4 linked regions of the Sus scrofa genome follow. The main gene of each other region encodes a partner of the protein of the gene in region 3 in a complex. Links are inferred from orthologs where the notes say so. Each region holds a gene or a part of one and is shown on either strand. Other genes may lie near its edges. The genes, in order: DNAJB13, DYDC2, NME5 and DYDC1.

What was found.
Region 1: the proteins of NME5 (region 3) and DNAJB13 are in contact, whole or in part, in a cryo-EM structure (PDB 8WZB), measured with the Mus musculus proteins. The link is inferred for Sus scrofa from reciprocal best matches to the Homo sapiens genes NME5 and DNAJB13. Residues at the interface, in NP_542368.2 of Mus musculus: Glu52, His53, Asn56, Met193, Lys199, Pro200, Lys201, Leu202, Cys203, His204, Phe205; in NP_705755.2 of Mus musculus: Thr156, Lys157, Lys158, Thr181, Ile182, Asp183, Arg185, Trp188, Arg189, Gly191, Thr192, Arg193, Ile194, Thr195, Phe196, Glu197, Pro281.
Region 2: the proteins of NME5 (region 3) and DYDC2 are in contact, whole or in part, in a cryo-EM structure (PDB 8X2U), measured with the Mus musculus proteins. The link is inferred for Sus scrofa from reciprocal best matches to the Homo sapiens genes NME5 and DYDC2. Residues at the interface, in NP_542368.2 of Mus musculus: Arg140, Ala145, Val146, Ile147, Ile151, Pro152, Ala156, Ala157, Tyr160, Ile161, Tyr164, Val165, Thr168, Leu169, Leu173, Leu176, Cys177, Lys180, Pro181, Asp183, Pro184, Tyr185, Leu186, Leu188, Ala189, Asp190, Leu192, Met193, Asn196, Pro197; in NP_001347537.1 of Mus musculus: Asp2, Tyr5, Leu6, Cys9, Phe10, Gly13, Leu14, Leu18, Val21, Ala22, Arg23, Val24, Arg25, Pro26, Asp28, Pro29, Ile30, Glu31, Leu33, Ala34, His35, Leu37, Tyr38, Tyr40, Arg41.
Region 4: NME5 (region 3) and DYDC1 share a complex: the UniProt entries of both Homo sapiens proteins name them as parts of the axonemal radial spoke complex. The link is inferred for Sus scrofa from reciprocal best matches to the Homo sapiens genes NME5 and DYDC1.

Annotation. Positions count from the first base shown.
Region 1 is NC_010451.4:8,350,734-8,358,363, forward strand, and holds part of DNAJB13 (dnaJ homolog subfamily B member 13), read left to right. Parts: intron 1-65; coding exon 66-223; intron 224-1,099; coding exon 1,100-1,213; intron 1,214-2,418; coding exon 2,419-2,532; intron 2,533-3,677; coding exon of another isoform or gene 3,678-3,754; intron 3,755-4,356; coding exon 4,357-4,653; 3' UTR 4,654-7,630. UniProt on the Homo sapiens protein: Functions as part of axonemal radial spoke complexes that play an important part in the motility of sperm and cilia.
Region 2 is NC_010456.5:82,195,683-82,203,804, reverse strand, and holds the start of DYDC2 (DPY30 domain-containing protein 2), read right to left. Parts: upstream 6,612-8,122; 5' UTR 6,491-6,611; intron 1,462-6,490; 5' UTR 1,391-1,461; intron 1,268-1,390; 5' UTR 1,231-1,267; coding exon 1,063-1,230; intron 717-1,062; coding exon 594-716; intron 1-593.
Region 3 is NC_010444.4:140,142,163-140,149,837, reverse strand, and holds part of NME5 (nucleoside diphosphate kinase homolog 5), read left to right. Parts: intron 1-2,454; coding exon 2,455-2,573; intron 2,574-7,675. UniProt on the Homo sapiens protein: Functions as part of axonemal radial spoke complexes that play an important part in the motility of sperm and cilia. Does not seem to have nucleoside diphosphate kinase (NDPK) activity.
Region 4 is NC_010456.5:82,186,917-82,194,591, reverse strand, and holds part of DYDC1 (DPY30 domain-containing protein 1), read left to right. Parts: exon of another isoform or gene 1-260; intron 261-842; 5' UTR 843-865; coding exon 866-1,012; intron 1,013-1,751; coding exon 1,752-1,853; intron 1,854-7,675. UniProt on the Homo sapiens protein: Functions as part of axonemal radial spoke complexes that play an important part in the motility of sperm and cilia. Plays a crucial role during acrosome biogenesis.

The sequences.
Region 1 (7,630 bases), on a different chromosome or scaffold from region 3:
TGTCCGTGAACATGAGTTTCTGGACACAGTTTCTCTTACTCCGTGCGTCTCCCCACCTTCTGCAGAGTTTTTTGATGCAGAAGGAAATGAGGTGGATCTTAACTTTGGGGGGCTCCGGGGCCGCGGGGTCAAGAAACAGGACCCCCCCATCGAGCGAGACCTCTACTTGTCTCTGGAGGACTTGTTCTTCGGCTGCACCAAGAAAATTAAGATCTCCCGAAGGGTGAGTACCGCGAGCCTCCTCCTAACCGCTCTGACCCGAACCGGAGACCTCGGGTATGGCCTCTCTCGGGATCATGGCATCTTAGATTTGGGGACCTAGGATGGTGGAATTCTAAAATCTGACCTTTGGAAGGGACAGTCGGGGGTATTAGCTGGGGTTCTTTCTGAGTTCAGGAGTCCCCCTGCATGCCCCCAACTTCTCAGTTCAGCCCCATCCCTGAGGAAACTGGGAGTCTCCTGTGATTTCTGCCTTCTGGGCGTTACCAGCCCATACCCTGTGGGTTCCTGGGTGTGTGCCTCCTGAGTAAGAAGGTGCCCTGTGGGCATGGGAGGGGGAGGCTGGGGGACAGTCCCTAAGGGGACTTGGAGAAGACCCTCAATGCCTCAGGGTCCAGCCCTGTGCTAGCCCCGTGCCATGGTCCACATGAGCACGGCCCCCTCCAACCTTTGCCCGGCAAAGGAGATGCCAGTTGTAGCCATGCCTTGCACAGATGGCCCCCATGTGGGCCTGTGATTGGGGGGTGGGTGACAGGTGACATACAGAGGAGTGCTGTGGGTGAGGCTCTGTGGTCTTTCTCCCTTGGGAATTAAGAGCCCTGCTGGAGGCTCGGGCAGAAGCCGCGGGGGTGGGAGAGGAGGTGGGTGTGTGTTCCCTGTGTATCTGTCAGTGGCCACAGCCGTGAGTTTCTAGGACTGGAGTGGGTCCTTGGTCAACTCACGGTGACACTTGGCACCTCGGACCCGAGCCCCATGTCATGCCCTGGCCCTCCTGGCCTAAGTTCCTGGTTTCAGTGGAACGGGCGTGGGGTGGCTCTGGCAGCTTCTCCCCATTGCTAGAGGCCACCTGGCAAACCTCCGTCCCGTCGTCTCGCCGCAGGTGCTGAACGAGGACGGGTTCTCCTCTACCATCAAGGACAAGATCCTCACCATTGACGTGAAGCCTGGGTGGAGGCAGGGCACCCGAATCACCTTTGAGAAGGAAGGGGACCAGGTGAGGGGAGGGCTGCTCCCTGGGGCCAGTCCCCCGGGTCCGCGTGGTGGGAGGACCGAGGCGGGAGGAGGCAGTGCGTGTTCTTGGTCCGGCAGGGAGGCCGGTCTGCAGAGTGGGCGAGCCGACCCCTCATGTCCCTCCCGAGGGACTGAGCCTCACAGGACATCCCCCAGGACCGAGTGGGCAACCGAGGCCCAGAGAAGGCAGGGACCTGCCCAGGGCACGGGCACCAGAGCAGGAAGGAGAAGCGAGTCCTAACACCAGTGTTCCCCCTGATTTTCTTTAGCGCTTCTCTGAGTCAGGCCCACCTCTAGGAGCTACGCAGAAACCGTTTGTTCACAAGGTTTTTTCTTTGGGCCCCCACGGCCTATGGAGCTCCCGGGCCAGGGATCAGGTCCCAGCTGCAGCTGTGGCCTACGCCGCCCCTGCAACAATGCTGGATCCGTTAATCCACAGTACCAGGCTGGGATGGAACTTGCATCCCGGTGCTGCAGAGATGCTGCTGATCCCATTGCACCACAGCGGGAACTCCAATGATAATTTTAAATTAAATGCTTATTTAGATGAAAATACAGAGTGATTGTCCAAGGCATGCTGAGTCCTCAAGTTGAGAAGAGGCAGTGATGCTATCCTTATTGCCAAGAGAGATGAATTCCTTTGCCATACTTCTTGCTCCCTTTTTTGCCCAGTAACACCTGCTTCCAAAAAACCCACTTCAAGATCCAGCTGCCAGGCTCTGGCTCTGGGCAGCCTTCCCTGTCCCCCCACCTTGGGACAGCGCCTCTCTGATCGGTCTTGAGCCTGCTGAGGATTCGCTACGTGTCCGTTTCCCCACCAGACTGGAAGCTCTTGGGGGTGGGGGCCAGTCGGCTCTCAACCCCCAGGGCCCAGGAGAGCCCTGCGGGGCTCTGGGGCTCAGTGCAGCCTGGCGGGACAGACCGGCAGGCAGTTCTGCCCCGAGCCCAGCGTTCCTCTCATGGTCTGAGGACGCCTCTGTCCCCGCACCCCGGCTGCAGGGGACGGGGAGCCGGATTGATCGGCGTAGGCTTTTCAGAGGAGGGACTGTGAGACCAAACTGGAAAGACCCTCCAGAAAACATGGTCTCATCTTCTCATGGTTCAGATGAAGACATGCAGACAGTAGAGGCAGGCCCTCGGCCAAGGTCGCACTGTTAACCCCTGTCTCGCCTTGGCCTCCTCACCCAGGGTCCCAACATCATCCCCGCCGACATCATCTTCATCGTCAAGGAGAAACTACACCCTCGCTTCCGCAGGGAGAATGACGACCTGTTTTTCGTGAACGCCATCCCCTTGGGCAAGGTGAGTGGGCGGAGCTGGGGGGGCCAGAGGCGGGCCGTCTGTTCAAGCCCGGGAGGCCCCCGGGGAAGTGGGCCTGCGCTCCCCTGGTACCTGGTGCCGGCCTTCAGACCATGGTAAGGGCCACACCAAGTCTTGGCGGCTGTGTCACTCCTGAGTGTCCCTGGCCCCCACGCCCTCACAACCCGGGCACGAAACGGCACCGCCTGCGGTTAGGCACTGAGTCCTCTCGCTTCCTCCTCCAGATGGCCCTCCCTCCGGGCCAGTTCTGTTCCCCCCACCATCGGGGCTCTGCGTGGCTTCCCGCCTTCCTTCTCACGTCCTCCAGGCACGTCCCCAGGGTCTTTCCACAAACTCATCTTTTAATCTGACCTGGCCACACTCTTGTCTAAACACCTTGGCGTGGCCTTCAAGGCCCTCCGCCTTCTGGCCCCTGCTGAGCTCAGCCCCTGCTCTCCAGCCACTGCCACTCAGGCCCCCTCAGCCTGGTGCGCTTTTCACACCTCCGTTCCGCTGTCTCCGCCGGGCCTCTGCCTGAGCACTGTCGCCCCTGCTTGTCTAACTGGCAGCTTATCCTCACCCTTTATCAACTGTGGCCACCACTGTGTGTGGCCCTCCTGCCCGACCCTGGAAGGTTTGGGAGGCGCCCCCCCAACCCCGACCCCTTTCCTTCCCTGTATCATAAAATGTATCCACATGAGTCTTACTAGCAGATCGAACTAAGGGCAGGCAGTTGCCCGGCTCACTTACTTGTTGGTATTTGAACATCCTTTTGTCTCCTTGTGGCCCCGCTCAGGGCCTGGCACTGAATAGTCTCATAAAGAATGGACACAGGGGAGTTCCCGTCATGGTGCAGTGGAAACCAATCCGACTAGGAACCATGAGGTTGGCGGGTTCCATCCCTCGCCTCGCTCAGCGGGTTGAGGATCTGGCATTGCCGTGAGCTGTGGTGTAGGTCCAGACATGGCTCGGATCCAGCGTTGCTGTGGCTGCGGTGTAGACTGGCAGCTGTAGCTCCGATTCCACCCCGGCCTGGGAACCTCCATAGGCCGCAGGTGCGGCCTTAAAAACAAACAAAACAAAAAGCAAAACAAAAGATGGACACAGGGACCTTCCTCACTCCCACCTCTGGCCCCCATGTCCTCTAGGCTCTGACCTGCTGCACCGTGGAGGTCAAGACCCTAGATGACCGTCTGCTCAACATCCCCATCAATGACATAGTCCAGTGAGTCCGTCTGCGTGGGCCCCATCAGGCAGGAGGGCTGCCTGGCCCTGAGAGGGTGTGTCAGACGGGCCAGCCTAATATAGTTGTTCAAGTTGCACACAGCACAAGGGGGTGAGAGAGGCTGAAGTCCAGCGGCGACTCTGGCCAAGCTGTGGGCTACAGTTACCTGGCCAATGGAGTGCCTTCTTCTGTCCAGAGGCCCCCAGGGGCGAGCAGTCCTTCCGCCTTCATCCTCAAGAACGTCCAGAGTTCTGAGTTGCTTCCACTAAGCCCTTTCCCAAGCAAGGCGCTGTGCGTGGGACGCGTGCTCAGCAGCCCCACGCTCCCCTCCCCAGCCCAGGGCCTGCTCACTTTCCTTCCCTCCTTGTCCTGTATCCCATTGGAAATGAGATTCCTGGAGTCCCCCATCAGAGACTCAGTGCAAATGGGTTTTCAGGGAGCAAGTTGTCTGGAACAAGCCAGTCACCCCTCCCCTCCCCCGAGTTCTGGAAGCCGGGGCCTGCCCCCCAGGCCTGAGGTTACGCGGGCAGGGGTGGATGGGATCTGTCCCAGGGCAGCCCTGGGGCGTCCTCTGAGCCCCTCCTCTCATCCGCCCGTCTCAGCCCCAAGTACTTCAAGAAGGTGCCGGGGGAAGGGATGCCGTTGCCAGAGGAGCCCGCCAGGAAGGGGGACCTCTTCATCTTCTTCGACATCCAGTTCCCCACCCGCCTCACACCCCAGAAGAAGCAGATGCTGCGCCAGGCGCTGCTGACGTAACTCTGGTGGGCTGGGGCTGGAGCGGGGGGACGAGGCGGCGGCTGGGCCTGACCGCGCCCCTGCGCCCCCAGCCCCAGGGTGTCCCACTGCACGGGCCTGAGGTGAGGATGGAATGGCATGGAACCTTTGAACTGACACAATAAAGTTCTCTTTCCTGTCCTCCAGCTCTACCCAGGAGAGCGTGTGCTGGACGGAGAGGGGCCTCACACAGCCCTGACTGTGGGGCAGAGGGGGGCCGGGGCCCACGAAGCTGAAGACCTGGGCCCCTGCCCTGGCTGTGGGCACCTGGCCAGGCCCCCGAGGGCTCAGAGCCCCTGTGCTCCCATCCCGATAGTGGGGCCATGCTGCATGGCCTCTGCGTGTCACCAGCTCTGCTTCTCCTGACACACGACGTCAGGCTCTGGTGTGACGTAGTCACGTTGTACTCAGGAACACAGAAGGACAAAGAGAACGGGGTACTTTTCCCAGGCCACATGGGACTCAGTGGCAAAGCTGTCAGCAGAGCCTTGAAGGCCACGTCCCACCACCTCACGCGCTGCGCTGCGAGGCAGCGCCCAGGACTCAAGCCTGGGAACGGCTTCCGTCCCTGCCGTGCGGCCTCCGCTGCCTTGGCTGTGCGCTAGGTCCTGCGCTGCCTCCAGACAGGGTCCTGGGAGACTGGGCTCTGCCCTCAGCCCTGCCCTGACTCCTCAGAAGGTACCTGTCTTGTTAGTAAGGTGGCACCTATAACCCTCCCCGAGCTTCCTGCCGATGAGAGTGCTTGGCGAGCTCTCTGCCTCGTCACCGGCGTGGCCCGCGGGGCGCCAGACTCCGGGCTGGGCAGGCGGCCTGCAGCCCCTCTGCGCCAGGAGGGCCCCCCACCCCGGAGCCTGGGTCTGGGCTGCGAGACCAAGCTTATGACATCGGGGGGCCACTTTTGAGGAGTGACTTCAGAGGTGCCAGAAGAGGGCCCCACAGGATCCACAGTGCTTGGATTCTACCACTCAAAGCGTCGTCATCTTGGCTTAAGGGGCTTTTCTCAAATGAGGGCTCAGTATCAGCCCTTGAGCAGACCTGCAATGTGGGGCTGGGGACAGTGTGAGCTCCCGGAGTTCCCGTCGTGGCTCGGCGGAAATGAATCTGCCTGCATCCACGAGGACACAGGTTCCATCCCTGGCCTTGCTCAGTGAGTTAAGGATCCAGCATTGCCGTGAGCTGTGGTGTAGGTCACAAATGTGGCTTGGATCCCGAGTTGCTGTGGCTGTGGTGTAGGCTGGCAGCTGTAGCTCCGATTAACCCCCAGCCTGGGAACCTCCATGTGCCGCCAGTGCGGCCCTAAAAAGCAAAAGCAAAGCATGTGAGCTTTGGAGTCTGAGATACTTCTGGGTTCCACCTGTCAGCTGAGCGCCCCTCGCTTCCTCTCTCTGAGCCTGTTTACAACCCCTATCTTGCAGGTCCCGTGGAAACCAGATGAGTGAGGCAGATTCTGCCCTGAGGCAGGACCTGGGTGGAGAGGTGGTAGTAGGTGCCCTGTTCTGAGAGCAGGTTGGGTGAGGCCTGCCCTGTGGGATTCTGGCACCCCAGCTCTCCTCCAGGCCAGGAGGGAGGCAGCTTGTAACCAAGTCCTCATAGGGACTCTCAAGGAAGCCTGGTCTTGGGCCTGAGGGGAGCCCTTAATGAGACTGTTAGCACCTCGGTGCTACCCTGTATGGCAGGTGTGTGATATGCGTTAAGGCCTCCTGGCTCCTGCAGAGGAGCTGGCTCCATCTAGGCCTCCTGGCTCCTACCTGGTTTCCCAGTTCATCGTCTCAGGATCTCGATGAAGTCGGGTGGCCTCACGTCCACGCCAGGGACTGAAACACAAGGCTAGTGAGGGAACCAGCTGCCAGACACACCAAGGGCAGCCCGTTGCCACTCGGTTTCCTCTGGTGCAAACAGTGAAGGGCCTGCCTGCAGAATTAATGTGAGGCTTAAGGTGCATTAGACACATTTACCCCCTGCCACCTGCACCCTGGCTTGGCTGACGGCACCCACCCCTGTCCCTCTTGGGACTGAGAGCCCAGCTGTCCTCCTCCACAGCCCTGACATCCTGGACCCAAGCACCGAATGGCCCAGCCTCCAGCTCAGGCCAGTGGGGAAGCACAGTAGCACCAGATGCCTTCAAAAGGCAGGGCACATTCTCTGGGCCTGGAACCACAGCTGTCCAGCAGGGTTCCTGAAGGACCCAGCACCGGCCCCTGGGGGAGGAGCCTGAGTCCTTGTCCCAGTTGAACTGCTGACTCCCGCATCCTGGCCTGTGGAACCGTCTCAGCCTTCGGCTTCTTCAAACGTCTGCAGAGTGCGCCTGGGTGGCTTCCTTCGAAGGACCCAGCTCTATGAGATGCCCTGGGATTCTGGAACCTCCAAGTCCCCACCCCTTGAAGCAGCAGTAGCCCTGGAAGAGGGAGAGGGAGGCTGACACCCCTAGTTTGTCACTACCTCCCTGGGATCTCTAGCCTGGGGTGAGGGTTAAACTCTGAAGGCGAGATCCCTGGGCTGAGGCCAGATGTTTGTTCTGCAGCTGCCTCTGTGCAATTCTCCTGCCTCCTTGGGGTGTTGGCTGTGCGGGAGGGAAGCAGCCTGACTTGCCCTCACTAGGCCTGGGACTTTGGGAAGGCAGGTTTCCCATTTGTAAAATGGAATAAAATAAGCCCATAGCATCTAAGATTCCCAAGTTCCTCTAAGTCTTCTAAGAAGCACTGGGGATGCAGGGCAAATAGGAACTTTTTTTTTTTTTTTTTTGGCTTTTTAGGCCTGCACCTGCCCAGGCTAGGGGTCGAATCTGAGCTACAGCTGCCAGCCTTCACCACAGCCATAGCAATGGAGGATCCAAGCCGAATCTGCAACCTACACCACAGCTCATGGCAACACTAGATCCCTGACCCACTGAGTTTGGCCGGGGATCGAACCTTCATCCTCATGGATACTAACAGGTACCGCTGAGCCACAGCAGGAACTCCCGGAACACTCATCTTACAGATAAGCGGGGCAGGGGGGAGGGGTGGGGGTTGGAGAGGCAGGTGCTACAGCACCAAGCACCAGTGGTTGAAAGCACCAGTGGGGACAGTAGGGCCACATGCTGACTGCAGGCTGCTCCTTCGC
Region 2 (8,122 bases), on a different chromosome or scaffold from region 3:
CCCCTTGCTGTACAGTGGGAAAATAAAATTTTAAAAAAATAAATAAAAGCTATGCTTGTTGGACTAATGAATATATGGTTGTTTCCAAGTAATCTGAGTTAATAATTCATGACCACTGTGAGAGCATCACAGAGGAGACATCTGTGGCTTGATACATAAATAAATAAACAGCATATACTAAATACTTAAGTAAATAGTATATAATAAATAAAATATCTAAAAGACATACTGGAAGCCATATTTGGTTTCTGAAAAATATTGAGTAATTTTTTAAAAGGGCTCAAAGGATCTTGTATGGAATGTTCCAAGTGACACACTAGATTATTTTAAAATCTGATTTTTTTAAACCAGTAACGTCTAAGGTAGCCCCTGGAATCTAAACATGGAATTGCCTTTAAGCATTTTCTTAGTTCATTGATAGGGATTTTATTGACATGGACTGTCAATAAGATTGATTTATATATAAGCATATGAATATGGAGGGAAGAGTAGGATCACAGGAGGCTCAGTGCCCTTTGCTGAGCTGACTTAGGGATTTCCTGGTACCCACCACAGGGTGTGTGCGTGCCCAGTGCCAAGTTCCTCCTCCCTACCTGGGGACACTTTTCACATTCCTGTTGAATCTCACGCTCTTCTCGCTTCAGCATTTCTGTTATTTTGGCTTCTTTGAGGCTAGTATCATACTCTTCCTGCAGCTGGACCTTCTCCTGCCTGCCCTGTGGTGATAGAACAGAGTGGAATCAGGTGAGCCGGGGAAGCATGCACCATTTCTGGGACAGACCATAGGCCCCAGGCCCTTCAGGCCTCCTGAGTTTGCTCCTGGAACTAACTAGCTTCAATCTCCAGGATCTCCAGGCCACCAGCTCCACCACTCCTCTGAGATGGAGTCTCACATCAGCCCCCAGACTCCCTAGACTTTAGGGATATCTGGACCTAAGCTATCCTTATAAGTGGAATTAAACCAAGAAACTCCCCAGGTCAGCTCCAGACTCCTGCCTTGCATTTCAGATTACTCTGGGAAAGCTGAAAAGCCCACCCCAACCTGATTCAGTGTACGCATACCTTTTCTTTGGCTTTTGCCGTTTTCCTATAATGATAAAGCCAGTGAGCCAGGTACTCTATGGGGTCACTGGGCTGAACCTTTGCTACCTCTGCCAGCGCCTGGACCAGGCAATTTCCAAAGCACTTCTTCAGGTATTCGGTTTCCATCTCAGTGGGCTCGGGAAACATCAAAACAGAGTCACACTGTTCTACAAATCTAATTGGACTTAAGAAAAATAGACACATTCCAATCAGTGCAGATTCATTTCAGGATAAATAAGAGAGGTTTCTGGATCCCACCCTTCCCCAAAGAACCAATAAATAATAGGTACCTGCCAATAGATCTTACCTTCAAATGAACTTTTTTCTAAATCTCTCCATCTATCCTAGTTGGAAAGTAGGTCCTGGGGGTCATCAGGCCTGAGAAGAGTTTGGCAGATTGGTGTTGAAGAGTGACAAAGGCCTCTACCTACCCACGCATTTCTACTCTTGATTAGGGAGGAAATAACTGAGCAAGGAGGAGGTCCCGAGAGGGGCTATGAGCACCCACCAAGATGCACTATTGTGAGGTCGGAATTTACACTCATCTATGACACAGATAAGACAGGCTTATATATTTCACAACCACCACTGAGAAGCCCTGAGGAGGAGAGTGAGGGAAAATGCCCAGCACTTTAGCTACTGCTGGTCAGGGGCTCTGCCAGCACTTAACACAATATTCCATTCCCTATGGCTTAAGCAAGAAACGAGGTTGAGTTGAGCTCCTGGATTTACTCAATCAGATGTTGAGAACTGGAGGGAATGAAGCCTGAGTTAGACCATAAGTATGGAGTGGAGATGGAGTGTAGGAGTAGGAATGCAGACTCTGGGATCAGATAGACTAAGTTCCAGTCCTGGGTCTGCTGTTTATTAGCTGTGTAATCTTCAGCAAGTTACCCAGTCTCTCTGAGTCTGTTTCCTGATCTGTGGAACAGAATAACAAAACTATGTATCTCATAATTGTGAGGATTAAAAGAGATAATAAGTACATGTGAAATACATAGCCTGGTGTATAAAAATGTTTAATAAAAATTAGCTGTTATAGGAGTTCCTGCTGTGGCACAGTAGGTTGAATCTGACTGCAGTAGCTTGGGTTGCTGTGGAAGTGTGGGTTCAATCTCCAGCCTGGCACAGTGGGTTAAAGGATCTGGCATTGTCACAGCTGTGGCATAGGTTACAGCTGTGACTTGGATTCAGTCCTTGTCCTGGGAACTTCCATATCCCATGGGTGTGGCCATAAAAAAAATGAGCTGTTATAATGGATGATTTGAGAGATGAAATGGCCAAGCACTCAGCTTATTCCTAATCATCTCCATTTTCCTGAAGCTTACATATTTTAACTCCAAAAGAACGGAGTTAAAATAGACACATTCCAATCTGCAGAAACAAATCTGACTAGTATCAGGAGTTTAGGGTTAACAGATGCAGACTATTGCTTCTGGAATGCATAAGCAATGAGATCCTGCTGTGTACCACTGGGAACTGTATCTAGTCACTTATAGTGGAGCATGATCATGTGAGAAAAAAGAATGTATACATGTATGTATAATCAGGTCACCATGCTGTAGAGTAGAAAAAAAAATAATGTATTGGGAAAATAATTTTTTTTTTTTTTTGTCTTTTTCCTTTTCTAGGGCCGCTCCTGTGGCATATGGAGGTTCCCAGGCTAGGGGTCTAATCGGACCTGTAGCCACCAGCCTATGCCAGAGCCACAGCAACACGGGATCCGAGCTGCGTCTGCGACCTATACCACAGCTCACGGAAACGCCGGATCCTTAACTCACGGAGCAAGGCCAGGGATCAAACCTGCAACCTCATGGCTCCTAGTTGGATTCATTAACCACTGCGCCACGACGGGAACTCTGGTAATTCTTTCTTAAAGTAGAATGCCAATAAGTAATTGTGGAAAGAACAATGGAGTTAAATCATTTTGTAACCATCATGTGTAACTGAAGCAGTCATCAATGAGCGCTAAAATTCAGTGAATACTTGACAAGGAATAGGATATTTATATAGTCTCAGAGTTTCTCCCCACAAATTATGGATTAATTCCAAAAGGAAATAGAGAAACTTAACAGTGTGAAGCCTGGCCTACACAACCTTAACCAAGTGATCAAAGTAAATATCACCAATAAAGGGGACAAAATAACATCACGCATCTCCTGATGTGATGCACTTCTTAGTGGGACATAATACATTTCTGTGGATTCCGGCTGCAAACGCAAGACTAGAATCTGACCGAGGAAACATCAGGCAAAGCTAAATTGAGAGACAGACTGCAAGTGGCCTGTGCTCTTAAAAATATCAAGATCATAAAAGCCAAAAAAAAAAAAAAAAAAAAAAAGATGAGGCTAAACAGCCTTTAGATCAAAGGAGGCTAAACAGTCATAACGACTATTTGCAGCACATGATCCAAGGTTGGGTCTGGACAGGAAATTGGAATTCTGTAAAGCACATTGTTGGGAAATCTGAATGTGGATTGTAGATTACATAATAGAACTGAATCAGAGTTAAACTTCCTGGTTTTGGTAATTAAAATATGAGTAAGAAAATGTCATTGTTCTTACGAAATACACAATGTGGTAGGGCTGAATAATAGTTCTCAAAGTTGTCATGTCCTCATACCTGGAACCCATGAAATATGTTACTCTGGAGTTCTCTTGTGGCACAGCAGGTTAAGGGTCCAGCATTGTTTATCCCTGGCCTCAGTTTGATCCCTGGCCCAGGAACTTCCTCATGCTACAGATGTGGCCAGAAAAAGAGAAATGTGTTACCTTATGTGGCAAAGGGACTTTGCAGATGTGATTAAGGAGTTGGGGGGGGATTATACTGGATTATACAGGTAGGCACAGTGTAATCACAAGGGTATTTATTTATTTATCTATGCCATACCCACAGCATATGAAAGTTCCTAGGCTAGGGATCAAATCTGAGCCACAGCTACAGCAATGTTGGATCCTTAAGCTGCTGCACTGGGCCAGGATCGAACCTGCTGCTGCCACAGCAACAACACTGGATCCTTAACCTGCTGTGCCACAGTGGGAACTCTCACAAGGGTCTTTATAAGAGGGATACAGTAAGGTCACACCAGTAGAAGGAGATGTGACAATGGAAGGGTAGCATCTAGAAGGTGGAAAAGGAAGGAAATGTATTCTCCTCTAAAGCCTCCAGAAGGAACCAGCCCCGCTGACACTTTGGTTTTAGACTTCTAAAACTCATTTTGGATTTTGGACTTCAAAAACTGTTAAGATAATAAATGTGTGTTTAAAGTCATTAAGTTAGGGGTAGTGGTGGAGGGTGGGGATGGGTGGTGGCTTTTTCTGCCAATCTGTGGCCCACCTAACCAATGCACTTAAATAAACTATCTTCTACACCCCTTCTACTCAAGTGTGGTCTAGGATCAGCAGCATTGCATCATTGCATCACCTGAGGATTGCTGAAATGCAGATTCTCAGGTCCCAGCTCAGACCTATGGATGGAGAGTCTGTTTTTTTGTTTTGTTTTGTTTTTTGTTTTTTTCTTTTTGCCTTTTCTTGGGCCACTCCCGTGGCATGTGGAGCTTCCTAGGCTAGAGGTCTAATTGGAGCTGTAGCTGCTGGCCTACGCCAGAGCCAGAGCAATGTGGGATCCAAGCCGCATCTGCAACCTACACCACAGCTCACGGCAATGTCGGATCCTTAACCCACTGAGCAAGGCCAGGGATCGAACCCACAACCTCATGGTTCCTAGTCGGATTCGTTAACCACTGCGCCATGACGGGAACTCCGAGAGTATGTATTTTAACAAAATCCCCAGGTAAGGCACAGCTACAGATCTACTTTGCCTTTATCACAGTAGGATTGGCCTTCCCAGAGGGCAGAATCACCATCTCTGCTTTCCCAGGAAGCCTCTTCACTGCCTGGTCCTCTGGTGGCTGCCACACTGAGGCAACCCTTTCTGGAGAAAGCATCTGCTCTAAACTGCACATTTTCAACAATGGTCTCAACAAAATACATTGGCCTGACTTGATGGGAAAACAGTAGAGCCAGAGAAATAGAGCCACAGTGTGAGGCCAGGAGAGAGAGGGGCTAAAGGGGTGTGTTTTACAGCCCACTCCCCACCAACTCTGGCCATGCTCACCAGTGAGACGGGGGCTATTTTTCTGAGTTTTCCAGAGCTCCTCTGAGGTCTGCTTGTACTGATCCTCCTTGCTCATGGCCTTGCATTCAGGTGGGGCGATATGTATAGAGATTGTCTTTGTTCACACTGTATTCCTAGTGTTGGGCTCACAGTAAGTGCTCAGCAAATATTTCTTGACTTAATCAGTCAGGACTTCGATGCTTGTGGGCCCAGGCAAGAGCTCACGCTTCCTCCCATCTGTTAGTGCCATGCTAACATCTATGACTCAACCAACATTTACTGAGGCACCTCCTGCCCAGTACTGCCCCACATAAATTAGAACATGAGAAATGCTAGCCTGTGCGCAAAGGACTAAACCAAGGAAGACTGCAAATGGTTGGGCTTGGTGGAGGATGGAAGGCTTTCTGGAGGTGGGGAGCACATCACAGTGAGAGGAATGCCAACTAAAGAACATTGCTAGCCAGCTGATTCTACAAGGATTGCTTAGCCACTACAGTTGTTAACTGAGTCATTAACACAACCTAAAAGGAGTTCAGGATGGATATCAGGACTGAAGCAATCTGTTCTCTGGAGAAAATGATAGAACAGGCCTTCAGATAGTTAGAAATTTTCAGGAAAAAATTTTATAAGCCCAGTTTCTTGCATCTTCCCATACTTAGGAAAGCACTGAAATCATTAAGTCATCTGTGCCTGGTGACTAGAATAACCTTTCACCTAGATATGTGTTTGACTGCAGGTACCCCTTCTCCAAAATCACACATATGCTGACCACCCCTCTACTTCTTCCATGCAGGAGCAGTTCCTTAGAGCTGTCACAGCGGCCATCTCCAGGGCTAAAGTCCTCAGTTTAGTCCCCAAATAAAACAACTCACAACTCTCAGATGTGCAATTTTTTTTCAGTGGACAGGAACCAAACAGAGGTCACCAGCAAGTGCAAAGGTGCTAAGCGGGGAAAATACCAGGCTATAGGTAGCTATAACTTCCTCTGCTCTAAAGCCGTTAGCCCCGAGGCTCCTCTCCCGCAGGCCAGCCCTCTCCCTTTTCTCTCTCCCTGTGTGCGCAAGCCTGCCAGCTCCGCCCGATTCCCCCTTTTGGCTGTCCTCTTCTCACAGCCTCTGGGTTGTACGTCTCTGCTCACCTACCCTGGTGCTCCCTTCCCTCCATCGGTAATCTCGCACACCTAGCGCGCCCCCTCCTCTCAATAGCGCATCCTACCCCGCCCCTCTCTGCTCCTCTCCTATGGCCTCTCCTCTCCTCTCTGCGGCCTCCTCCCCGCCCTACTGCCGCTCACCGCCCGACACGCTTCCTCTCTGCTGCAAATTCTCCGCTCCTCGCCCAGCGCTCTCTGCGGCGCGCCCCTTCCTCTCAGCACGAGGCAGTCTCCTGCTCCTGGGGCTCGCGCTCGTTGCCTAGCGACAGGACGCTACTAGAGGGTAGGTAGGCGCCTGCGTCCCGCGCCGGCTTAGAGGACGCAGGCGCAGTTGTGGAAGTACTGCTTCAGGTGCTGGGCTGAATCCTGCGAACCAAGGCAGTTTTTGCAGTTGGACCTTGTGAGCGCTGCGGTGGCAGTAGACGCCCATGCTCCCCGAGCTTCGGGAAGGTTAGTTCAGCGCCGGCCTCCTCCTCCTCCTCGGTGGTGAGCGGCGCTATGCCTTTTGGAGGGATACGGAAGGCGGGCACCCTGCCGGGGACCTGGGATAGAAAAGCAACCGAAGCGCTCGGAATCCAGGGTTGCCAGATAAAATTCGGGGTACGCATTTAAATTTGATTTCAGAGAAATAAGGAATAGCTTTTTAGCACAATATAGGATAATGCAAAATCATTCCTTATTTATCTGAAATTTAACTGGACATCCTGTATTTTTGTTTGCAAAAAAAGCAACCCTACCACTGGCCACCTTTCTCCCAAGCAGGAGCGAAGAACCTCTTTCTGTTTCTTGTGACAGCTTATGCAGGCTTGAGGCAGCTCTTTCTGTGGGAAGATGCTTTCTTCTCTTGAGCCAGGATGGCTGTTGGTGTGTATAAAAAATAGCATTACTTATAACAGGCTTTTCAGATGGGTATGTCGCTAATTCAGGAACAAGAAATAAGCCAAACGAGGTAACGAGTTCCACCTGGGTTCCGCTGATAATGCGATGCAGGCTGCCTAGATGTGAGACTAACCCTTTACTGGAGGTTTCTCCTTAGGAACCACGGGCCCATTCCCATGTGTTATCTTTCAGGAGCAGCGGCAGGAATCGGCTCCCTTTTTAATTGTTATTCCATTCCAAATGATATTAAGCTGTCAATGTAGTTATTTTTGTCTTTGAAGAAGTGCAGTGAAGATACTGTGTTCCATACTCAGCTGTAATAAGACATCAATACTAGCTTGATAGGGAATTAGGTTCGTTTGTGCCAGTTTTTAATTTGTTTTTATGACTGTATATATGTATTAGCGTTCCTTTCTCCACTGTTGTTGCTAATATAAAGGCGGCATATAAACTGCAATTTATGCATCTTGCTTTTTTTCACTTCACACTTTGTCCTAGGGATCACTCCTAATTTGGGGGATCTTCCTCTTTCTCTTTTTTTTCTGCGCAAAAATCCATTGTGTTGCTGTATCTCATCAGTCCTTTATTGAGGAACATTTGGATGGAGGTCGAAACTTGGCTATTCTTAGTAATGGTGCAGACTAACCGGTGGATATATTCATATTTTTGTAAGATAAGATCCCAGAAGTGAGACTGATGAGTCAAAATGTAAAGTCATATGTAATTTTCTACACATTTCCAAATTCTACTCCATGGGATTATGCCATTTTGTACTCTGCCACCACATTATGAGACAGAGCACTATTGGAGTATATGGATGAAACTCAGAAGGTCATTGTTTCTGAGGTTTTGTGCAGAATGTTAGGTACATTTATTCCAGAACAGGTCAAGACA
Region 3 (7,675 bases):
TTTTCTTTTTTTAGGGCTGCACCGGCAGCATATGGAGGTTCCCAGGCTAGGGGTCTAATCAGAGCTACAGCCACCAGCCTACGCCACAGCCACAGCAACGCCAGATCCAAGCCGTGTCTGTGACCTACACCACAGCTCAGAGCAACACTGGATCCTTAACCCACTGAAAGAGACCAGGGATTGAACCCACAACCTCATGGTTCCTAGTCAGATTCGTTTCCACTGCAGCACAACAGGAACTCCCGGATTTTCATTTTTAAAATGCTATAAAGGATCTGAGAAGATTGAACAATGACAAATACGGTTTTAATATGGAATGTACAGAGGAGTTCCCATTGTGGTGCGGCAGAAACAAATCTGTCTAGTATCCATGATGATGCAGGTTCGATTCCTGGCCTCGCTCGGTGGTTTAAGGATCCGGCGTTGCTGTGAGCTGTGGTGTAGGTCACAGACATGGCTCGGATCCCATGTTACTGTGGCTGTAACTGTGATTGGACCCTTAGCCTGGGAACTTCGATATGCTGTGAGTGTGGCCATAAAAAGCAAAAAAATTAAAAAAAAAAAAAATTGGGTTTTTTTTGGTCTTTTTTTTTGCCATTTCTTGGGCTGCTCCTGCGGCATATGGAGGTTCCCGGGCTAGGGGTCTAATCAGAGCTGTAGCTGCTGGCCTACGCCAAGGCCACAGCAACACGGGATCCGAGTCACATCTGCAACCTACACCACAGCTCACGGCAATGCTGGATCCTTAACCCACTGAGCGAGGGCAGGGACCGAACCCGCAACCTCATGGTTCCTAGTCGGATTCGTTAACCACTGAGCCATGATGGGAACTCCCTCCAAAAAAATAAAAATTTTTAAAAAAACATGGAACTTACAGAGCAGAAGAGACAAATGACAGAAATGTTTATATAATCAAAATAAAATTATTACAGTGATTAGTGTAATGAAAAGTACTATAATGAGACTAATAGGAAATGAACCTCTTACCTAAGACCTGTAAGACTTCTGCCAACTTTTCCTGGCATCCTGGCAGATGATTCCCACTGGTAGTCTTTGTCTCACTGAGACTGATCCTATACACATACACATGCAGTTATATAGAAACCTATCCTCCTGCCCTCCTTTCCCTTGGGCCAGTTTTTCCAATGAGGATTTAAATCTGAACATATGAGATTAGTAGCCTTACTTTCTCATCTTTATCAAAAGTAGCATACTGCTGGACATCAACCTTGAAAGACCTATAAAGATTTATACAATTCTTTCTAGTAGAAATATGCATTTTTTTTGTACTCCAAGTCTTATTCACCTACATGGTATTCAAACAATACTAAAAAGACTAAAGTTTCCTAAAACTTACATAGTTTATTTTAAAACCTGAAAAATAAGAGCAGGATTTTTTTTTTTTTTTTTTTTTTTTTTTTGTCTTTTCGCCTTTTCTAGGGCTGCTCCCTCGGCATATGGAGGTTCCCAGGCTAGGGGTTTAATCAGACTGTAGCCACCAGCCTACGCCAGGGCCACAGCAATGAGGGATCCGAGCCGCATCTGCAACCTACACCACAGCTCACTGCAACGCCAGATCCTTAACCCATTGAGCAAGGCCAGGGATCAAACCTGCAACCTCATGGTTCCTAGTCAGATTTGTTAACCACTGCGCCACGAGGGGAACTCCAAGAGCAGGAATATTAATGCATACTATATAATTGAAATATGTTTTATGTGTGTATTCAGTAGTCTAACTATAGACTATAAGAGCAAGAACCACCTATTATTCACTGTTGAGCCTGTACCATTTTGAAAAGTGCCTACCAAATTTGTTGATGGGTTTTTGTAAGGAATTAATCTCCGAGATTTTAACATAATTCATATTTTTATAACATTTCTGTTGTAATGTTTACTGTAAAAAAAAAAACCATGGAAATGCAGAAATGGATATTGTTGAAAACATAATCAAAATCCTATGTAGGAGCACCATTAGCATTTTGATGCATTTTGCCAATCTTACGAGTGTGTTTTTTATGGTTTTTGTTTTGTTTTGTTTTTGCCTTTTTCTAGGGCCACTTCCCACAGCATATGGAGATTCCCAGGCTAGGGGTCCAATTGGAGCTGCAGCCTCCGGCCTATGCCACAGCCACAGCAACGAGGGATCCAAACCACATCTCAACCCACACCACAGCTCACAGCAACGCCAGATCCTCAACCCACTGAGCAAGGCCAGGGATCGAACCTGCAACCTCATGGTTCCTAGTCGGATTTGTTAACCACTGCGCCACAGCGGGAACTCCTGTTTGTATGTTTTTGAACAAGCTATTAAACTGTGTCTAGTTCTATTTCCTTAAGAAAGAAAAACTAAGTATTTCTCATGCTACTAAAATTTCTTTAAAGGTGTCCTTTTTAATGACTGCATAATATGCCATCATTTATGTTGGCTTAATGGGAATGCATTTGTATTTGCAGTGATCACTGAGCCCATTCCAGTTGGACAAGCTGCAAAGGACTATTTAAATTTGTACGTAATACCAACTCTGCTTGAAGGACTTACAGAGCTTTGTAAGCAAAAACCAGCAGATCCTTTAGTAAGAAATCTTTTTATTCATACTGAAGAATATTGTCTATAATTTTCATAATTAAAGTGTTGTATTCTTGGAAACATATTGAGAGTCACTTAAACTATTTTATGTACATTTTAGATACTTCCTTAAGTATAATTTTTTATTACAGTTGAGCCTCGAGTAAAAGTCAGGGCTAGGGGCACTGACCCTCTGCACAGTCAAAAATCTGACATGTAATTTACAGTAGGTCCTTGCAACATCTGTTCTCCTGTATGTGCAATTCTTCATCCTGGGTTCAGCCATTTGTAGATTGTGTAGTACTGCAGTATTTACTATTGAAAAACATCCGCATGTAAGTAGACCCCTGCAGTTCAAACCTATCTTGCTCAAGGATTAACTGTACTTATTTTCTTGATTTTTTTTTTTTAATTTTTAAACTATAGTTGATTTACAATGTTCTGTCAGTTTCTGCTGTACAGCAAAGTAACCCAGTTATACCTATGTATGCATTCTCTTTATTTTTTTTTTGGCTTTTTGTCTTTTTAGGCCTGCACCCTCAGCATATGGAGGTTCCCATGCTAGGGGTCTCATCGGAGCTATAGCTGCTGGCCTCCGCCACAGCCACAGCAATGCCAGATCGGAGCCGCATCTTAACCTACATCACAGCTCACGGCAATGCCGAATCCTTAACCCACTGGGCAAGGCCAGGGACTGAACCTGCTACCTCACGGTTCCTAGTTGAATTCGTTTCTGCTGCTCCACGATGGGAACTCCTGCATTCTCTTTCTCACATTATCCTCCATCAAGTTCCATCACAAGTGATTAGATATATTTCCCTGTGCTATACAGCAGGATCTCATTGCTTATCCACTTTAAATGCAGTAGTTTGCATCTACTAACCCCAAACTCCCAGTCCGTCCCACTCCCTTCTTGCTGTTTTAACTCTTAAAAAACATTCTTCCTGGAGTTCCTGCTGTGGTGCAATGGGATTGGTAGAGTCTTGGGAGCACTGGAAGGTATGTTCAGTCCCCACAGTCCCCAGCCTGGCATACTGGGTTAAGCATCTGGCATTGCCACAGCTGTGCCTTAGGTCGCAGCTATGGCTTGGATCTGATCCTTAGCCCAGGAACTCCATATGCCATGGGGTGACCAAAAAAGAAACAAAACAAAACATTCTTCCTAAGTGCATTTTCAATCACTGCATCCTGTAATTGCTGAACATTGTTTTTGTGTATAATTTATATAATCAAATGATAAAATTCCATATATACTTGAATCATGTTTAATATTTTTTAAACTAGAAAACACATTCACATCCCTAGATGCCTCAATGGTGCTCATTCAGGTGGAAGAATCGTTGTGTATGGGGACCTAGAATGATTGTCCAAGGCCAAATGTCAGCCTGGATCCCTCTTGACATATGCTTTCACCTATTTGAAGAGCCTCATATGTAGTCAGGGAAGGTTATTTTAGTACCAGCCCTACCAAAACAGTGTCTCTAGCCTTTGTTAGCATTGTGGAAGGGAATCCCCTTTGAAGACAAAAGATTTAATCTTTCCCACTAACATTATCACTTTTACCAAAAATAAAAATATTGACAGATTTCTTTAATAACACTCTCTCATTGTGAAAATAATATATTTTTATTTAGTGAAAAACCTGAAACTACTGAAAAATGTAAAGAAGAAAAAGAAATAGCCCTCATTCCATTTAAGTCATCTTGCCTGGATTCAATTCTGACTCCAGACACCTAACTTTTCTCTAAGTCTCTTTATTCTTATCAGTAAGATGTAGATATATTTATGAGTATATACCTACCTAGCAGAGACATTGTGATTAAAAGTATAAATGCATGTGAAATTCTTAGTCAAAGTGCCTGTGCATTAAGTCCTTATACATTATCTGCTGCTGTTACTGTTTTTTGTTTTGTTTTTTAACGGCCACATCCACTGTGTATGAAGTTCCAAGGCCAGAGATTGAATCTGAGCCATAGCTTCGACCTGTGCTGCACCCTGAGGCAACACGAGATCCTTTAACCCACTACTCTGGGACAAGGATTGAACCCTGACTCTGCAGCAGCCCGAACTGCTGCAGTCAGGTTCTCAACCCACTGTGCCACAGAGGGAACTCCTGGTTTGTTTGGTTTTTTAAAGCCTGTGTCTCCAATGAAGCTAATCCAGTCTTGTGTTTTTTTTTTTTTTTCTTTCTTCAGGTTGTATTTTTTATATGACTGTATATAAACACATCCCATAAATACTGCTACACACACATACACTTTTTTTTTTTTTTTTGGTCTGTGCCCATGGCATGCCCAAGTTCCCAGGCCAAGGTAGGGATTAAACCCACACTACAGCAGTGACTTGAGCCATAGCTGTGACAATGCCAGATCCTTAACATGCTAGGCCATGAGGGAAAGTTAATATTGCTGTGTTTAAGTATATATTTTATAAAGATTATTTTAATAATTACATGATATTTCTTTTGTTACCTTTACCATACTTTTGCTGCTTGCAGTTATAAATACTGTAACAATAAATATCTTTGATATGAAATTTTACGCACATTACAATTATTTTATTTGGAAAGAGATCACAAGTCAAATTATATTTCAAAACATGAAATTAAAATTATTTTGACCCTTAAAGGATTGACTTTATTTTTTAACTGTTTAATTTTTTGAATAAACAGTGTTTGAATATGGTATAAAATCTAAAATTTCTAAAATAATATATAGTGAAAAGTAACTCTCTTTTTCATTCCTGTTCCTCAGCCACCCAGTTATACTCTTTGGAGTCAATTACTGTTATCAGTCTCTAGTATAACCTTGCAGGGAAAATCTATACATAAATAAGCATATATATTTGTATGAACTTAAAAACACATACAGGAGTTTCCTGGTGGTTCAGTGGGTTAAGGATACAGCATTATCACTGCTGTGACTTGGGTTACTACTATGGCACGGGTTGGAACCCTGGCCCAGGAATGATCCCCGCCTGGCCTGGGAACTTCTGCATGCCATGGGCAGGGCCAAAAGGAAAAAAAACAGACAAATACAAATGCTAGTTATTATGCACATTATTTGACACTTTTTTGCCTTATTTACTTAATATATATTATAAATTATTAAATAGCATAACAAACAAAATTGCCCCATTTTAAAAGAACAGCTTATGGCATTCTGTATTATGAATCTTCTACAATTTATTAATTAGTCACATATAGATGGTCATTTAGGTTGTTTCCACTCTTTTGTTACCACAGATTATTACCCTATCTTCATTCATTTGGCAGTATGCAATATATCTGTAGAATAAATTACTCCAAATGGAAATACTGAGTCAAAAGAATGTTACTTCTTTTGGCCCCACCCATCACACATGGGTCAGAGGTCAAATTCGTGCCACAGCAGCAACCCAAACCTCTGCAGTGACAATACTGGATCTTTAACCTGCTGTGCCACATAAGAACTCCCCAAAAGAATGTTATTTTGATATTTTTGATATGTGCATTTTTAATTTGGATAAATATTGCCAAATTACTTTTTGTAGTGGTTAAACCATTTTGTATTCCAATCAAAAATTATTATATTATTGACTATATTCCCCTTGCTATGCATTTCGTCTTCATGACTCATTTGTTTTGTAACTGAAAATTTGCTACTTTTTTTTTTTTAGGGCTGCACCTGCAGCATGTGGAGGTTCCCAGGCTAGGGGTCTAATTGGAGCTACAGCCGCTGGCCTATGCCACAGCCACAGCAACATCAGATTAAAGCCACGTCTGCAACCTACACCACAGCTCACAGCAACACTGAATCCTTAACCCAATGAGCGAGATTAGGGATGGAATCTGCAATTTATGGTTCCTAGTTGGATTCTTTTCTGATGCTGCACCACCACGGGAACTTCAAAATTTGTTACTTCTTAATATCCCTCACCTCTTTCCCTCATCTCCTACCCCCTCCTCTCTGGCATCCTCCTGTTTGTTCTTTGTGACTCTGTTTCTGTTTTGTTGTATTTGTTTACTCTGTACTGTTTTGTTGTATTTGTTTATTTGTTTATTTTTAGATTCCACATATAAGTAAAATCATATGCTATTTTCTTTACCTTATTTTACTTAGCATAACACCTTCTATGTTCATCCATGTTATTGCAAATGACAAAATTTCTTTTTTATGACTAATATTCCAGTGTGTGTGTATATATATATATATATATATATATGTATGTATGTGTATATATTTTTTTTTCATATTTTTTAAAGCTATTCATCTTCTGACAAACACTCAGATTGCTTCCACATCTTGGCTGTTGTAAATAATGCTGAAGTGAACACAGGGGTGCATATATCTTTTCAAATTAATGTTTTTGTTTTCTTCAGAGAAATACCCAAAAGTATAATTGATGGATCATGTGGTAGTTTGAAATTTTTTGACAAACCTACATATTGCTTTCTACGGTGACTGTAACGGTTTGTATTCCCACCAACAGTGCACCAGAATTGCCTTTTCACCATATCTTTGCCAACACTTGTTACTAGTTGTCTTCTTGATAATAGGCATTCTGATTTTTTGTTATTGTTTTTTGGCTGCACCCATGGCATGTGGAAGTTCCCAGGCCCAGAGGTCAAACTGGAGTCACAGTTGTGGCCTGTGCCACAACTGTGGCACCACCAAGTCCTTAACCCTCTGTGCCACACGGGAACTTCCTAGCCGTTCTGATTGATGTGAGGTAATATCTCATTGTGGTTTTGCTTGGCATTTCCCTGATGATTAGTGATTTTGTGCATCTTTGCATATGTCTGTTATCTATCTTCTTTGGAAAAATGTCTATTCAGGTCCTCTGCCCATTTTTAAATTCACTTTAAAAATTTTTTTTGGAGTTCCCGTCATGGCGCAGTGGTTAACGAATCCGACTAGGAACCATGAGGTTGCGGGTTCGGTCCCTGCCCTTGCTCAGTGGGTTAACGATCCGGCGTGGCCGTGAACTGTGGTGTAGGTTGCAGATGCGGCTCGGATCCCGCGTTGCTGTGGCTCTGGCATAGGCCTGTGGCTACAGCTCCAATTCGACCCCTAGCCTGGGAACCTCCATATGCCGTGGGAGCAGCCCAAGAAATAGCAAAAAGAAAAA
Region 4 (7,675 bases), on a different chromosome or scaffold from region 3:
TGATAAGGGTCATGTGAGCTGTTGGGGGAAGGACGGCTGTCTTTGTGTTGCCTGGAGATGGTGGTAGCAGCCACAGCAAGGGGGAATGACAGATGATTGATGCCTTGCAGGTGAGGAGATAGTCTCCAAACTGAGAGTGAGGGGTCATCACGGGCACATATGATGGAGATGGAATTGCACAAGGTGTGAGCAGCAGAATGACAGGATGTTCTGTATGGTTAGAGCCCAGAGTATGTTGGAAGCAGAAAAGATTTCTGGAGGTGAGCTTGGAAAGAAAAGTGGAGCCAGAGCATGAAGAGCTTCATGTGCTAGTCTTTGAAGGTTTAATTTTTTCTTATTTTTTGGCCTTAAGGTATGTGGACTTTTTAAAACTTTAAGGTACTATTGTGATATTTTCTAGAAACATCTCTCAGGGGTTGGGAGGAGCATCTTAGTAAATCATTTAGGGTAACGACTCTGGAATCAAGAGTTGGGTGTGATCCCTGTGCATCATGTGCCACCTGGGCTGTTCACTTATTCTCTTTGTATCTGAATGCGAGGATTAAGTGAGCCATCACTTGCCATATAGCCATTTCATGGTCAATAATGACAGTATCCCTTTTCTGACTCTTGGAATCAAGGATCCTTCAGGATTTTGAAACTATTTTAGTTGTAGCAACTACTGTGGAACATTTTTGGAAAATGCTAGAAGTTCCCCAGAGCCAGCTTGCTTGCGCCATCCCTAATGGCAGGTTCCCATGACTGGTGACAGGATATGCTGCTTGGTTGGCCTTACTTGTCTCTACTTTGATTGTGCCTTCATCAAAAATCTCCTGCACTAATGCAAAATGTTTGTCCTTTAGAAGTTTTTACTTAGCAGTTATAAATGGAGACGGAGTATCTTCAAAAGAATCTTGGGACATGTCTAACTCAAGGGCTTGCAGAAGTGGCAAGGATGCGGCCAGTGGATCCAATAGAATATTTGGCATTGTGGATTTACAAGTATAAAGAAAATGTGACCAGGGAGCAACTGGTAAGTATGGATCTTTTTTCCTAAAATTAGAAGAGTAAAATAATTGGTCCAGCTTCTTCATTTTTTATTAAAGCTTGACATTATCATTTCTTTCTGTTATAAAAATGGTATGTTTATTACATGAACTTGGACTACCTGAAAAAGTGAAAGTAGAAAAATGAAAACAAAATACCTCTATTTAGGAGTTCCTGTCGTGGTGCATCGGAAATGAATCCGACTAGGAACCACGAGGTTGTGGGTTGGATCCCTTGCCTCACTCAGTGGGTTAAGGATCCAGTGTTGCCATGAGTGTGGCGTAGGTTGCAGACATGGCTCAAATCTGGTGTTGCTGTGGCTCTGGTGTAGGCCGGCAGCTATAGCTCAGATTAGACCCCTAGCCCGGGAACCTCCATATGCTGCAGGTGCTGCCCTAAAAAAAGACAAAAGACAAAAAAAAAACAAAAAACAAAAAACTTCTATTTAGATTTTTAAGTATTTTTAGATATTCTAGTCTTTTTTCTACGTGTTCATGTTAAGATTTTTTAAACGTAATTTGATCATATTCAATTCATAATTTTAATTTTGTGCTCTTTGTTCAAATAAAACACACATTTCCCAAAATTATTATGCAGTTTCCAAATGGACAGACTATAATTTGTTTAATCCTTTCCCTGCTGTTGGAGATTAACATGCTTTTAAGAATGTTTTCAAAAATTGTTTTACCTGATGTCACATGATGTTGTTTTTAAAACAATGCTAGAGACAAGAGGAAATGGCCCAGTTGGAGCATGAAAGACAAATAGCTCTGATGGAGCAGGAAATGATGGAGAGACTTAAAGCAGAAGAGCTCCTATTTCAGCAGGTGAGACAAAAGAGTTCAGTGGTGACTGGAATTGGTGGTGTCAGCCTCTGTGTGGTGCAACCCGAGTGCTGAAAAACTCATCTCTGGTTGCTTAGATGTGGCTTTCATGTATCTTCATCCTTATGTCTCTCTGTGTTTCTTTGCTGGAGAAGCAGAAGCAGTGGGGTAGGAAGAAAATCCAGAGAGTGAGCTGTCACAGAAGCCAACGGGACAATGTCTCATTGAGACCCGAGTAGTCAACCATGTCTATGGCTGGTCCAGTGAGATCAGAACCTGCCAAGTGCTCATTAAGTCCACGGGTGACCTTGGCGGGAGCAGTGTGTGGGGGCTGGGGTTAAGCAGGGGAGATAGAAATGGTGGCTGTAGATAATGTTTTCAAGATTCTCAGAGAAGGAATTCTGTTTGTTTGTTTGTTTTTTTTTTTTTTTTCCCCTTAAGGAACAGAGTGGGAGGGGGAGTGGTTGAAGTAAAGAAATAAAGTGGATTATTCTTAAAGTTAGCTTTACATGGAGATCAGAAAAAGTTGGGTCTGAAACATAGGTTAGGCAGGTGGAAGACCCTTCTTTGATTCAGGAAAAGAGGAGAAGATGTAGGTACATGTGATGTGTAGGTTTTATGGCACAATTTTTTTTTTTTCTTTTTATGGCCATACCTGTAGCATAGGGAAGTTCCCAGGCTAGGCGTCAAATCAGAGCTGCAGCTACTGGCCTACACCACAGCCACAGCAACACTGGATCCTTAACCCACTGAATGAGGTCAGGGATCAAACCCACATCCTCACAGACACTGTGTCAGGTTCTAAAGCTGCTGAGCCGCAATGGGAACTCTTTGTGGCACAAAAATTTTTTGTTTGTTGTTTTGTCTTTTGGGGCCACACCTGTGGCATAGGGAAGTTCCCAGGCTAAGGATCGAATCAGAGCTACAGCTGCTAGCTTATACCATAGCCACAGCAACACCAGATCCGAGCTGTGTCTGCAACCTACACCGGAGCTCACAGCAACACCAGATCCTTAACTCACTAAGCGAGGCCCGGGATCGAACCCATGTCCTCATGGATACTAGTTGGGTTCGTTACCACTGAGCCACAATGGGAACTCCCTACTTGTGGCCCAAAATTGAAAGCAGTTTCTTTTTTATGAAGTAGGGAGCATGATCATCTGCTCACAATGAGGTGGTGAGTAAGATAGGAAGTGTGGAGAGAGGGGTGAAGGGTTAAAACGGTGGCTTTGGAGAAGTCCAGTTGACCAGGGAAACTTCACATCCCTTGGTAGCACTGAATTCCCTGAGAATAAGCAGTCATAATGGGGCCTTTTGGCTTGGTTTTGTGATTATGTGGTTTTCTTCACTCAGGCTTAGATATGAATGAAGAGGTGGAACAGGCAGACCCTTTGACTGAAGTGAGTTTGGGTTAGCAGGATTGGGGTGCTAAAGATGTTGCTATGAGAATGGTTGAAGAGGTAGGTCATGGAGTGTAAACCAAATAGGGGAAATTTCTCAAATGGCTCTGGACTAATTTAATTTTTTTCTTTTTTTGTCTTTTTGCTATTTCTTTGGGCCGTTCCTGCGGCATATGGAGGTTCCCAGGCTAGGGGTCGAATCGGAGCTGTAGCCTCTAGCCTATGCAAGAGCGACATGGGATCCGAGCCGTATCTGCAACCTACACCACAGCTCACGGCAGTGCTGGATCCTTAACCCACTGAGCAAGGGCAGGGTCTGAACCCGCAACCTCATGGTTCCTAGTCAGATTTGTTAACCACTGCGCCACGACAGGAACTCCTGGACTAATTTAATTTATGGAGAGCTTCTAAACCAAGTTCAAGCCTCCCGTTTATTCCTATTGTACACTACCTAATTCTACAGTCTCAACTCCAGTTTGTATGTTATAGAAAGAGAAAGAAGCCTATTATTTGGCTGTGTGGGTAAAAAAGAAAATGTAAACATGGAAAATAGCTTCTTTGTCTTACTTCCCATCCTTGATACTGGAATAGGATAATTCAGACACCTTAGGTGGATTTGGCTGTCAAAGAAAGCCTTTGCTGCTGCTTTTTTAGTCACTGGGCTTATTTTTGTGGGGAAATTGCATAGCATTGAGTTGGATGTCAAACAACCACCCAGGTAGTCAAGTATCTGCTGCAGTCACCCCAGCTTTTTTTTTTTTTTTGTCTTTTTAGGGCTGCACCTGTGGCATATGGAGGTTCCCAGGCTAGGGGTCAAATCAGAGCTGCAGCTGTCAGCCTATACCACAGCCACAGCAACACTGGATCCTTAACCCACTGAGCAAGGCCAGGGATCAAACCCGCAACCTTGTTTCTGCTGCACCATGATAGGAACTCCATCATCCCAGCTTTAAGTGAGGATCTGCCCGGCCTCTTCCAGCTCCTGGACCTGATATTTGTTCCCTGTCTATCAGAAGAAGGAGACCCTCTCAGCAGTTCTCCTTCCCCAAGACAGATCACAGATGTGGAGATACTTAACTCTCTTTGACTCATCTTCTTTTTCACTTAGATAAAATTTGGTGATACCAGAAACCAAACACTTCTCTGGCTGTATCAATATGGAGCCATCCCCTGTGCATCAAACCTTAAGCCTTGTATTGAATATGGAAGATATAGTGATATCCTGCAGAAGATGTGATGGCCAGTTAGAGGAGTGGATTGGTGGGCAGAGATAGATGAGAGGAGGAGAAGGGACATGCAGAGAGATGGACCAACAGAGAAGAGCTTAAGAGAGAGAGAGAGGCTGAGATGAAGAGGAATAGAGAGGCCTCTCCATGTCCCCAGAGTTAAATGAGCTGGAGGGTCAGGACTCTGGTCACCCGCTTGTCTGTTTCAAGAGCAGTGGTAGTAAATACCGCTACTTGAAATTCATTGAAATTTTAGGCACTCTCCCACAAGCCTGGGTCCTTTGTGAATATGGAAATATTTTTATTGTTGTTTTCTATTTAAGAGCTTGTTTTGGAAGAAAAGCTTTTTTAATTTATTTGAATGTCTTTCTAAGATGGTTTTACTCATGTATGAAGAAAAGCAATTGGGTTTTGAACATTTCCCTTAAAATGTTAAGAAACTGGTGATGTTGATCAGTGTGGTTGGTATGTAACAACTGGACTTTGGGTTATTGTTGAGAGATTAGAGTTATTTCACTTTCTCTACCAATTTCTGAAAGTCGATTGAATGGTAGTGTTCCTACATTTCGGCTACCTAGTCCATCACTTTTATCTTAGTGGGAATGATACAGAAATATGAAGAAATTGCCTTTAACAGCCCTTTGTGAATAATGTTAGTCACTGTTTATTATGTTTTTATTTGCAAAAGTGTATTATTTTTAAAATGAATTTAAAATAGTTTTAAAATGCTCTTAATGGAGTGAGCTTGTATAAACTTGTTTATGGGGTGGCACTAGGTTAATGGTGAGAAATTGCTGAGGGGTTGGCAGACTCTTTCTGTTAGATATTTTACGGTTTGCAGGTCAAGAGGCAAAATTGAGGATGTTATGTAGATATTATGGGATATTATGTAGGTATATTATGTAGATATAGCAAGAGAGAAAACAATTTTCTACAAATGTTTTATTGATGAAATAAAAATTTTAAAAATAATAATCAAATGCAAATTTTTTTGTAATGTAGGCTTACTACTGAGAAGAATTACATCCCCTGCCCTTTTTTTGTTTGTTTTGTTTTGTTTTAATGGCCACACCTGTGGCATATGGAAGTTCTTGGGCCAGAGATTGAATCTGAGCCACAGCTGTGACCTGTGCTGCAGCTGCAGCAACACTGGATCCTTTAATCGACTGTGCCATGCCACAGGGAACTGAACCCATTCTTCTGCAGTGACCCAAGCGCCTGCATTCAGAATTTTTTTTTTTTTTTTTTTTGCTGCTGCTTCTTTTTAGGGCCACACCTGTGGCACATGGAAGTTCCTGGGTTAGGGGTTGAATCAGAGCTGCAGCTGCTGGCCTACGCAACAGTCACAGCAACGTCAGATCCGAGCCACGTTTGTGACCTACACTAAAGCTCATGGCAACGCCAGATCCTTAACCCACTGAGCAAGGCCAGAGATTAAAACACGCATCCTCATGGATACTATTTGGGTTCTTAACCTGCTGGGCCATGACTGGCACTCTTGCAGTCAGATTCTTAACCCACTGTTCCACAGTGGGAACATCTACATTCCCTTTTTAAAGATAGCTTTTTTTTTTTTTTTTTTTTGTCTTTTGTCTTTTTGAGGGCCACACCCACAGCATATGGAGGTTCCCAGGATAGGGGTCTAATCAGAGCTGTAGCTGCTGGCCTATGCCACATCCACAGCAACACTAGATCCTTAACTCACCGAGCAAGGCCAGGGATTGAACCTGCAACCTCATGGTTCCTAGTCGGATTCGTTTCCTCTGTGCCACAATAGGAACTCCTAAAGATAGCATTTTACTTAGTTGGAGTTAAAAAATAATGTTCTCTATTACCAAAATTGATTGACAGTGTTTATCTGGTTTTGTTTTTTGTTTTGTCTTTTGTCTTTTTAGGGCCGTACCTACAGCACATGGAGGTTCCTAGGCTGGGGGTTGAATCAGACCTGAGCTGTAACTGCTGGCCACAGGCACAGCAATGCCAGATCTGAGCCGTGTCTGCAACCTACACCACAGGTCATGGCAATGCCGGATGCTTAACCCACTGAGCAAGGCCAGGGATCAAACCTGCAACTTCATGGTTCCTAGTTGGATTAATTTCTGCTGTGCCACGATGGGAACTCCAACAATGTTTATCTGTTAATGCTGATCTGTAGTGAGATTTTATGTGTTTCATCTTTGAAAATATCTTTTTACACAAATAGGTTCTTGCCAAATATTGATATCTGCCCATGTGCACAAAATTTTGAGTGTATTCATCTCTCAGAAGGCACTTGTAGAATTCTGCTAGGTTTTTCTCTTGATATTTGTCCTTATCATATCATTATCTTGTGGATTCTTCCAGTTGAGGGTTGGTAAAATCTTCTCAGTCGCACAGTTAAATGGATTTTGAAATGTGGAAATTTCCTTTGCACTTATATCAAGACCTAAAAACACTCTAGAACTACAGTTTGAGCTTAGAAAATCTGCCACAGATTTGTGTGGGAATGGAAATCTAGTTTCTTGATAGCAGTAGAAGTGTATGAGGCAGCTTGACATTGTGATTCAAACAAATTAGTTGTTATTGAAATGACTTTCCTGCAGCATTAAGTTTTACATATAAATGCTGTTTTGCCTTATGCTTTTCAGTCAAATTGATTAAAAATCTTTAAGTCTGCAGCAAAAGCTAGTTTCCAAATCTATTTAATGTTTGATAATTGTGTTTGAAGATGGTTCTTAAAGTCAGTTTTAGCCTTAGCTCAAAAATTCGCAATAAAACATTACCACTGTTAGGCCATGGACCTGTTGGTTTGTAGGGCAAGTCAAGATATATTCAGCTTCTCTATCTGACAAAAAATTACGGAACCAATGATGTTTAAGATCATAAAGGTAAATGAAAGTCACTGTTGACACTGTTACAAACCAAATTTGGCTCTGCTCACTCAAGGTGTGTTGAAGGCAAATCTGTTGACACTGGGTTGTGGTGAAGAAAGGTGCAGTATTTATCGTAAGGTGCTAAGCAAGGGAATGGGAAACAAGGCTCAGATTCACTCCACATTGGTCGTTGAGTTAGGGGTTTTCTTAAAGGGGAAGAGCAGAGGGGCTAGAATTAATCATCTTGTGACATTTCTGTGACATGTCTTTTCCTTTTTTAATTGAGATATAGTTGATTTGTATATTGTGTTAGTTTCAGGTATACAACAAGGTAATTTGGTTGTATA